2 linked regions of the Coturnix japonica genome follow. The protein of the gene in region 1 purifies or fractionates together with the protein of each later gene. This does not show direct contact. Links are inferred from orthologs where the notes say so. Each region holds a gene or a part of one and is shown on either strand. Other genes may lie near its edges.

What was found. The genes of interacting proteins can lie anywhere in the genome.
Region 2: the proteins of PSMC3IP (region 1) and MND1 purify together in Homo sapiens (co-immunoprecipitation; 6 studies listed by BioGRID and IntAct, counting the BioPlex papers as one, with this or other methods). This does not show direct contact. The link is inferred for Coturnix japonica from reciprocal best matches to the Homo sapiens genes PSMC3IP and MND1.

The regions. Positions count from the first base shown.
Region 1 is NC_029542.1:4,582,406-4,586,737, reverse strand, and holds PSMC3IP (homologous-pairing protein 2 homolog), read left to right. Parts: upstream 1-1,484; 5' UTR 1,485-1,709; coding exon 1,710-1,746; intron 1,747-1,895; coding exon 1,896-1,999; intron 2,000-2,132; coding exon 2,133-2,222; intron 2,223-2,287; coding exon 2,288-2,399; intron 2,400-2,482; coding exon 2,483-2,628; intron 2,629-2,852; coding exon 2,853-2,906; coding exon of another isoform or gene 2,907-2,932; intron 2,933-3,150; coding exon 3,151-3,210; intron 3,211-3,305; coding exon 3,306-3,365; 3' UTR 3,366-3,805; downstream 3,806-4,332. Other genes in the region: RETREG3 (reticulophagy regulator 3), read left to right, coding at 1-8. UniProt on the Homo sapiens protein: Plays an important role in meiotic recombination. Stimulates DMC1-mediated strand exchange required for pairing homologous chromosomes during meiosis.
Region 2 is NC_029519.1:17,741,117-17,745,356, reverse strand, and holds the start of MND1 (meiotic nuclear division protein 1 homolog), read right to left. Parts: upstream 2,841-4,240; 5' UTR 2,722-2,840; coding exon 2,719-2,721; intron 2,318-2,718; coding exon 2,252-2,317; intron 1,536-2,251; coding exon 1,478-1,535; intron 13-1,477; coding exon 1-12. UniProt on the Homo sapiens protein: Required for proper homologous chromosome pairing and efficient cross-over and intragenic recombination during meiosis.

The DNA of each region.
Region 1 (4,332 bases):
GCCAATAAGCAATCACTTCCCTTCTGGTTTTCTGTTGTGTATCGTGGAGGGGAATCCTGGAAGGAAAAAGCATTGCACAGTTACCTAGGTTGTCTCTTGTGTGAGCATGAGTAATGATACAACCAGTCCCGGCTGAGAAGTCAACTGACCTGTGACTCTGTAGCTTCGCTTGGATTTTTGAAATAAACTGTGTTGGTAATTCAGAGGGAAAAGGCATCGATGTGATTGCTCCACAGTCACTCATGCCAGGATGCTGCTTCCTCCAAATTTCCTCACCTACGACAATTAGTCCAGTGTCTGCAGTTCTAGAGACCACTAAATCAGACCGACTTAGCATCACTGGGAGCAATCTTGAAGCCGATCTTCTTGGGGCTGTTATGTGATAATGGGATTGGTTTCCCTTCAAACTTAATGTCTGGGACTTAATGCTGTTCTGTCTTTAAGACAATCATTCCCTGTCCCTAAAACATGCACAGAAATCTAATTCTCTCCCAGCAATATTCAGCTGTGGGTAGAAACAAACACCTTCCTCCTGTTGTGAATGCGATGGTGTACAGCCACAAATGTTTGTGACTTTATTGGCCACTCATCTCCAGTTCAAGCTTTCTAGTGATGCTATTTTGTAAGAAACTTAATGGCAATAAGACATCTACTGTGAAGACTAGAATCCCGCAAAGAACATCCACATGTGGCAGCTGTTCTCATGTTGCTTTCTTAATGGACTAACAAATAGTAAAACCTTCCTGTGTTGTTCCAGAACACGTTCAGCATGGACGGCAGCAATACGACGTTTCCCTGACACTGCCTCTCGGGGAGATTTTCTGGAGGACAGAAGCAGACTGTCCTGTGTGGCCAGTTTTGTTCTGGGCTCCCAGGACAACCTGCTGCTTCCCAGCTTTGTACAGTCGAGAGCAGGAGCCGAATGGAGGACGGCAGCTCGACCACGAGTGACTGAAGAACTGTTTGTTGTGGTCACTGAAACCAGCAACCCACAGGGGAGAGACGTTCTTCAAGCTGGATCGCCCAAACTTTCCAGCCCTTTCTGAGTCATTGAGCTTCCCCATCGCTTTTTCTAAGCCATAGATACGGATCATTCACCTCTTCAGGGCAGCTCCCATCTGTGTGCTTTGCTTTTCCTTTGTTGTGCTCTGAGGCTGTTGGCCGCACACTGCGGGGATCGGCCTCGGGGGTGGTTTATTGCAGCCGTGACCGAGGCTTTATTTTATTCTGCCATAAAATCTTCCTTTGCACCTTTCAAGATGCAGCTCATAGTGACACAACGGCCGCGGTGGGAGCGGAGGGAGGAGCTCATGGAGCTGAGCTGGGGGACACGGGCCGTGCCGAGCTCACGGCTGGGATTAAATCCTTGGTTCATTCGGTTCGTGTTGTGGTAACTGGGTTCAATGGAGCCGCGGGGCGGAAATGGCGGCGTTGGGAACGGCCCGGGAGCAGCGGCTGTGCCCGCGGCCCGGCCCGGATCGTTCCGCCCCGTTTAAAGCCGCCCCGTATCGGGTGAGTTGACGCCGACAGCGGCTGTGGGGGAGCGCCCTGAAAGCGGGACGGCCACGGCGGCCACAAAGGGCACCGGAACTGCCCGAGGGCCGCGACCGGAAGCGGGGCGGAAGCGGGGCGGAACAGGAAGCGCCTCTCCTTAGCGGTGCGTCGCGCCGGAAGTGCGTCACAGCATCTGAGCGGGGCGCGGGAAGAAGATGAGCAAAGGGCGGGAGGGACCCGAGGGGAGCGGAGGGGAGCGGGGAACGGAACGGGACGGGACGGGACGGGACGGGACGGGACGGGACGGGACGGGACGGAACGGAACGTGAACGGGGGGGGGGGGACGGAACGGACAGGAGCCGCTCCTGGGCGGACACGGTGCGAGCGTTGCTGTCCCGCAGGGCCCGGTGCCGTCGTGCTGCGTTACCTGCGGGAGCAGAACCGGCCGTACAGCGCGCAGGATGTGCACGGGAACCTGCAGCGGGAGACCGGGATGGGCAAAGCGGTGAGCGGGAAACGGCCGGGAGACCGAACCACGGAGCGGGGCTCAGTGCGGGAATGGCGGTGTCTGTTGGGGCTGTCGGTGTCTGTCGGTGCTCCCGGTGTCGGTGCTGACGTGGCTCTGTCCCGCCGTCCAGGCCGTGCTGAAGGCGCTGGAGCAGCTGGCTCAGCAGGGCCGTGTCCGTGAGAAGCCGTACGGCAAACACAAGATTTACTTCGCCGACCAGGTGAGACCCGGCACCGGCCGCGCCCCCCGCCCCCCCCGGCCCCGCTGAGCCCCCCCCGCCCCCAGGAGCAGCTCCCGGCCGCGGGCGATGCGGAGCTTCGTGCGTTGGACGCCGACATCACCGCGCGATCCCGGGAGCTGCAGGAGCTGCTGAACAACTGCCGGCAGCTGGAGGCAGGTGAGCGCCCACACGGCACCGACCGCGGGCGGCCGTGGGCACCGCGGGGACCGGCCGAGCCGGTGATCGGCGCCGCCCTCCAGAGCTGAAGGAGCTGAACGGCACCATGACCACGACGGACATGGCCCGGGAGGTTGAAGAGCTGAGGAAGGACTGCAGCAGTTACACGGAGAAACTGGAGAGGATCAAGTCTGCCACCAACCACGTAACGCCAGAGGAAAAAGAGAAGGTGAAGAGCTGGGGGGGGTTGGGGGAGTGAGGAACGTAGGAACGTACAGCACAGTCTGCATCGAGGCTGCTCAGAGCAACTTGGAATAGCACAAGTTGTCCTTTCCTTGCAAATCTTTGTCCAGTCACTGGGCGCTACCAATCCATCTCCTGGCTTTGAGCTCACAGACACTCAATGCAGTGGCTGCTGGCTGAGTTGTTCTCACTTTGCCTTTCCTTTGACAGGTCTGCAGCGAGCACAAGCTGTACTGCAAGGAGTGGCGGAGGAGGAAGCGGATGGTAATGGTTTCCCCATTGAACGTGAGGTGGGCAGAAATGTCAGTGGCAAACCCACAGTGACAGTGGAGCGGGCACAGTCTTTTATTTGTTCTTGGGGAAACAAAACAAGCTCTTGCATCCCTGTGCAGGGGTTAATGTGGGAACAGCTGTGTTGGCTCCCTGTATGGGAGGCAGTATCCCACAGCTGTGGCAGAAAGCTCAGCATCAGTCCTGCAAATCTCATCTAACTTCTCTGTCCTGCCAGGCAACCGAGCTGCTCGATGCCATCCTGGAGGGATACCCCAAAAGCAAGAAGCAATTCTTTGTAAGTCCCCCTGCTTCTGCTTGTGTCCCAGGGCAGCTGCGCCTGCTGTGTCAGAGGGCAGCCGTCTGCTACAGGAGCACTTTGTCCTCGTGCAGGAGGAGGTTGGAATAGAAACTGATGAGGAGCACAATGTTACACTCCCAGCAGCTCTGTGAGGTGCAGGTGGATCTCATTGCTTTACAGAGAACACATGGTGGTGGATCCAATGCTGAAACTCAGTTGTTGGGTTTTAGGTTCGTTTTCTTCTGTAATTTTTTTCCAGGGCTTGTGCTTGTTCTGCACTTTTATATATTTTTGTTTAAAAGTGCTTTGCCCCTGGAAGGGAAGTTCAGAGCAATTGACTCAGCAGTGGACCCTCTCCATTTTGGTTGGGCTTCTTCACTAGGCAGTGACTGGGAGGGTGTAAGAGCACTGGGTTACAGGGATGGTGTGTTGATAAGAACAGGAAGGAAGCACCTCACGGAGGTGAAGGAACGAATTACCATTATGGCCCATATTTCTGTAAACTCCATACATGGAGGGAGCTGCTTCCCACAGTATGTACAGAGTTGTACACAACCCCACGATTCATTAAACACCATCCTTCTGTTCCAGATGTGCTCTGCTGTGGTGTCTTCTGTGTTGAGAGGGTAGCAGGGCTGGCCTTGGACGTGGTCCGTGAGCCACAGCTGCAGTGGGTGCAGCCCTTACCTGATCCCATTAAAGTCTCCAGGCACACAGCACCAGAAATAAAAGCAGAAGAGCCATTAAAACATTCAGCAAAATTTATTTAATCATTTTCCATAATAGAAAAATATGTCACTTTCACATATGAGGTCTGTAAAAATCCGCATCTTCCTCTCAAGGCAAGAGGTTGCATCTAAAGGAAATTAAGCTGTGCCCTGTACGTGTCATCAGTTGTGTGCGACACCACAGGGTCTGACTCCTACTGGGCTTCTATTGTATTATATCCAAAAGGTCACAGGGTTTGGAAAAACAATTTCATCTAAAAATCAACCCCACCAAAAAGCTTTTCTTCATTTAAGTCAAACAGAAGCAACAGCTTCAACCATCTCCAGCTGCAGCATTCAAAAATCAAGCAACCCGGAGCTGAGAAACTTAGCATTACCTCATCTACAGTGG
Region 2 (4,240 bases), on another chromosome or scaffold:
CTGACATGGAAGCTAATAGAAGCAAAAGTATGAGATTAGATCTGCACAGCACCTCCTTAGAACCGTAGAGAATTATTAATATTATAAGACATCATCTACCTGTCTGAATATTTCAATACAGTGTCAGCCAGCTGGAAGATTTCAGGAGGACATTGTGCTTGATACTCCACTTCAAAGCACAAATCCCTCTGAAATCGGTGGCTTCAACATACAGGCTGCTGCTCTTTAGTGCAGTCTGCTACAGGATGCTTGTAAACTGCTCATAACTATCATAAAATGTATAATTTTACAGCACAATGCCATAACAAATTCATGAGAAGGCACTTGAACAGTTGTCCTGCAATCTTAACTGTAATAACCATTAACCTACAATTGCTTGATTAGGAATGTAATTGCATTTTGCTTTGCAGCATTTACCAAAGCAATAAACAGCAGAAGGGGCACAAAGACCATCTGCCTATGGGCTCATGAGGGTTAGATTTGACATTAGGTTATATTCAGTTCCAATACAGAAAGTCACTTGCAATGATAGTTATGTGCAGTAATTGTTTCTCCACTGTCTACCAAACATGCAGTACAATCCAGCATTTAAAAAATTACACCAGTTCAACAAGCAAAGTACTAGATACTATCATCCAAAAGCAGAGCAAACCTAAATACCTTCAAGATGTGAGTTTTCAGTGTCTGACATCCAATTACAAGCCTAAGGGAGATACCTGACCAGAAACATCCCATCCTCTGGAAGCTATAGACTGTATGCCAATATAGGGGCACTTCCACAGACTAAGTTTCTCTTCCCAGAAGAAACCACTCTACTGGTGTGGCTAAATGCCTCCACATTCACAGGCAGGATGAATCTGGACTCTTCAAAGGTACAAAGGGTGTTAGAAACTCTATCTTTTAAAACATGAAATTCCTTTGCTTACACCATTTTGCATTTTCTTCCTACAAATTGCAACTAAATGGATGCAAGAGGTATTTTGACAAACCAATCACAGTTCTGAAGATGCTGTTGAGCATCTCTGCTGGCTGCTGATGTAACATGAATCTGGCAAAGCATTGTTTTTCAACGTGCCCGTGGTTCTTTCAACAAACATGTGCATTCCTTACTCTCACAGTGCCACAGTGACATGCTCATCAAGGACAGTGGCAACCACACAAACACTGCACTTCTTCCCACCTTTATCACTGAACACAAAGGAAAACAGAATGAAGGACACACAAAGCAACTCAACAGCATTAAGGTAAATCACCTTGGACCTAATCCAAAGCCAATGGATTTTTTTTTTCTCTTTCACTGAAAAGACTTCTCCTCTACTGCTATCCAGCCATACTGGGGGGAGGGGGGGAATTCAACAGAACCATGGCATTTTAAGATATATGTGACATTATAGACATATCTCTGTATCCTCTATTCTCTGTCTGAGTACACACACTGATTTCATAGAATGAGAGTTCATGGAAGGTAAGCACTTACTAATCCCTTTGTCTTTTGAAGCAATCTTCTCTATATCCTTCAACTGGAACACATCTTTCTGCATAAAAAAAACCATAAAAGACACTTCAGCTTCAAACAACAGCATCCGCTCAGCCCATGCAGCTTTTACACTACACTGATGCCAACAAAAGCAAGTAGGAAACACTCTTTATATTTTGCTGTGAAAATATGCTGCATATCCCTCAGTAGAATTAGAAGATTCTGCAAAGTGATAAAGGATACCAAAGGAAAGAGCTTCTGACTATAACATCACAGAACTTTGTCTAAAGTTAGAGTGAAAACCCCTTGGCACACTGAGCCAAGGTTAGGTTGTCCGTGCTGGATACACTGCTTTACTCAAACACTCAAGGGTCACAATAACATTTTAAAAGGTGAGATGCTGTGTTTTATGCACGTCACCAGTATATCCATAGCCCTGCTTTTGGATCTCCAGGTTTCTTCCCTCCATCCGTACTGATCTTTTTAATGCTGGGATTTCTCCCACCTCTGAAACTTCATGACCTCTCATGATAACAGGCTTGGCATGCAAAGATGTGGCTCCAAGAAGAAAGAGCACAATGAGCAGCTTCACACCACCACTAAGCAGCCACCTGAGCTGACACTGCATGAACCCAGTGCTGTAATTTATACACAGGTGACAGAGGGCATGGAGGAGAAGCTGGACGTGCACAGTGCCTTTACAGCAGGCAGGAGTAAATGGGACTGTCTTCCCATTGAGAATAAACGCAGGGCAACTCTCAGCAAGACACTTACTGTCTCAAAAAAGATCTCCATCATTCGAGCTCTCTTCTCCTCAAAGCTCAGTCCTTTTTTCTTGGACTGGAACAAGAGAAAAACAAACAAACATATTCTACCACTCGCAGAATTAATGTTTGCTGGAAATTCCTATCCCATTAGCTCTAAATTAGCTGTGTCCCCTTACAGAGCCTTACTGCTAAGCCCAGCTCCCACTGCAGCACACAGAGCCTGAGTTCCCAGCCTGGACCTTCATCGCACCTAACCCAGCTCCAGTCCCACCGTGTGCTGGATACGCCACTGGGAAATGCCGTAAAGTACATTCAGATGCGGAGCATCGCTACTTATTCTGCCGTAATGGCCGCCGGGCCCCGGCCCGGGTCCAGGCCTGTCCCCACATCCCTCGGTGGTCCCCGGCCCCCCCTGCGGCCCCCAGCCCCTCGCTAACAGGGGGCAGGGAAGGGCCCCACCGCCGCCCTGCTTACCATGGCGGCCTCCGGGAGCCAGTTTGATTTCGGCGCCACCCGGAGGGGACAGGCCGCCTGCGCGGCTCCAGCGACACCTGGTGTCAGCTCCTCTGCGGTACCGGGAGCGAGCGGCAGGACACGTGGTGACGGGGGGAAGCGGCTTCCGGGTGCTTTGTAAATGGCTGGTTTTGGAATGTATGAAAAATAAGTGTTTTGAAAGGCAATGGAAGGCGAAAAGGTTAAACACCCATGGGACTGGCAGCAAAACAGTGCTGCACTGAAGTTCAAGGCTGGAGAACAAGAAGGTCCAAGAGGAAGCTGGCCATTTACTGTACAGGTTTCCTGGTATTCTCTATTTCCGGCATTCTCTACTCTTGGCGTCTTGCTTACCTGCATGTCTGATTTTGCCCCGTGGCAAAGAACCTCTGCTGTAATAATACAGGGAACAGAAGACATTTCTGGCCAGTCAGTGAGAACTCACACTCATTTCTTGAAGGATTCAGCTGTAGAGAGCTCAGCAGTGACAAAGCCATCGTGCTGCATTAGCCTGGAGAAAAGAAGGCTGTGGGGTGACCTCATTGCAGCATTTCAGTACCTGAAGGGAACTTATAATCAGGAGGGGAATAAACTATTTGAAAGGGCCAATAATAGCAGGACAAGGGGAAATAGTTTTATGTTGATAGAGGTAAGATTTAGGTTGGATGTTAGGGGGAAGTTCTTTACTAGGAGAGTGGTGAGGTTCTGGAACAGGCTGCCCAGGGATGTTGTGGATGCCCCATCCATTGAGGTGTTCACGGCCAGGTTGGATGGGGCCCTGGGCAACCTGATCTAGTAAATGTGTATGTTTGGTGGCCCGGCCAGGCAGGGGGGTTGGAGCTTCATGATCCTTGAGGTCCCTTCCAACCCATGTCATTCTGTGATTCTGGAGATATTTTCAGGGACAGCGAGTACGAAACATGTGACAAATTCTCAACAATAACAGAGGAAACAAGCTTTATTTTTATTATTTGAAACTTTTGTGCGTGGTAAAGGTACACATTTGACTGATTTTCCTACATTTCCAAGACAGAGTACTTTTTATCATCGGCTAAAGCATTAAGAATGCTGTGGCACACAGGAAGCTAAAACTACACACGCACACACACACACACACAAACACTTTGATGTGCATCTTTCATACTTGATGTTAAGGAGTAAAGTTTGTATTTAGCCTCACAGGGATTGAAAAAGAAAGTAAAAACAATGAAACAAAAACAAGTGAGAATAGTATTCCATCATAAGTTTCAAGAGAGTGCAAGACTTACATGTACACAAAACATACGAAACTGACTTTAAAAGGTGGAATGTATAAAAGCTTTTAAAAAACAAAGAGGAGAGATAGGATCTTGGAACCGGAAAGCTGCAGCGTATCAACTGGTAGAGATTTCTAACGTGGGGATACTGCCATATACGCTGTGCAGCTTAGGGAACATTCCCATGTCATAAAGCCAAAGCAAAAAGTGTCAGGGTTAAGGCCGTGTTGCTCACAGACATCAACCAA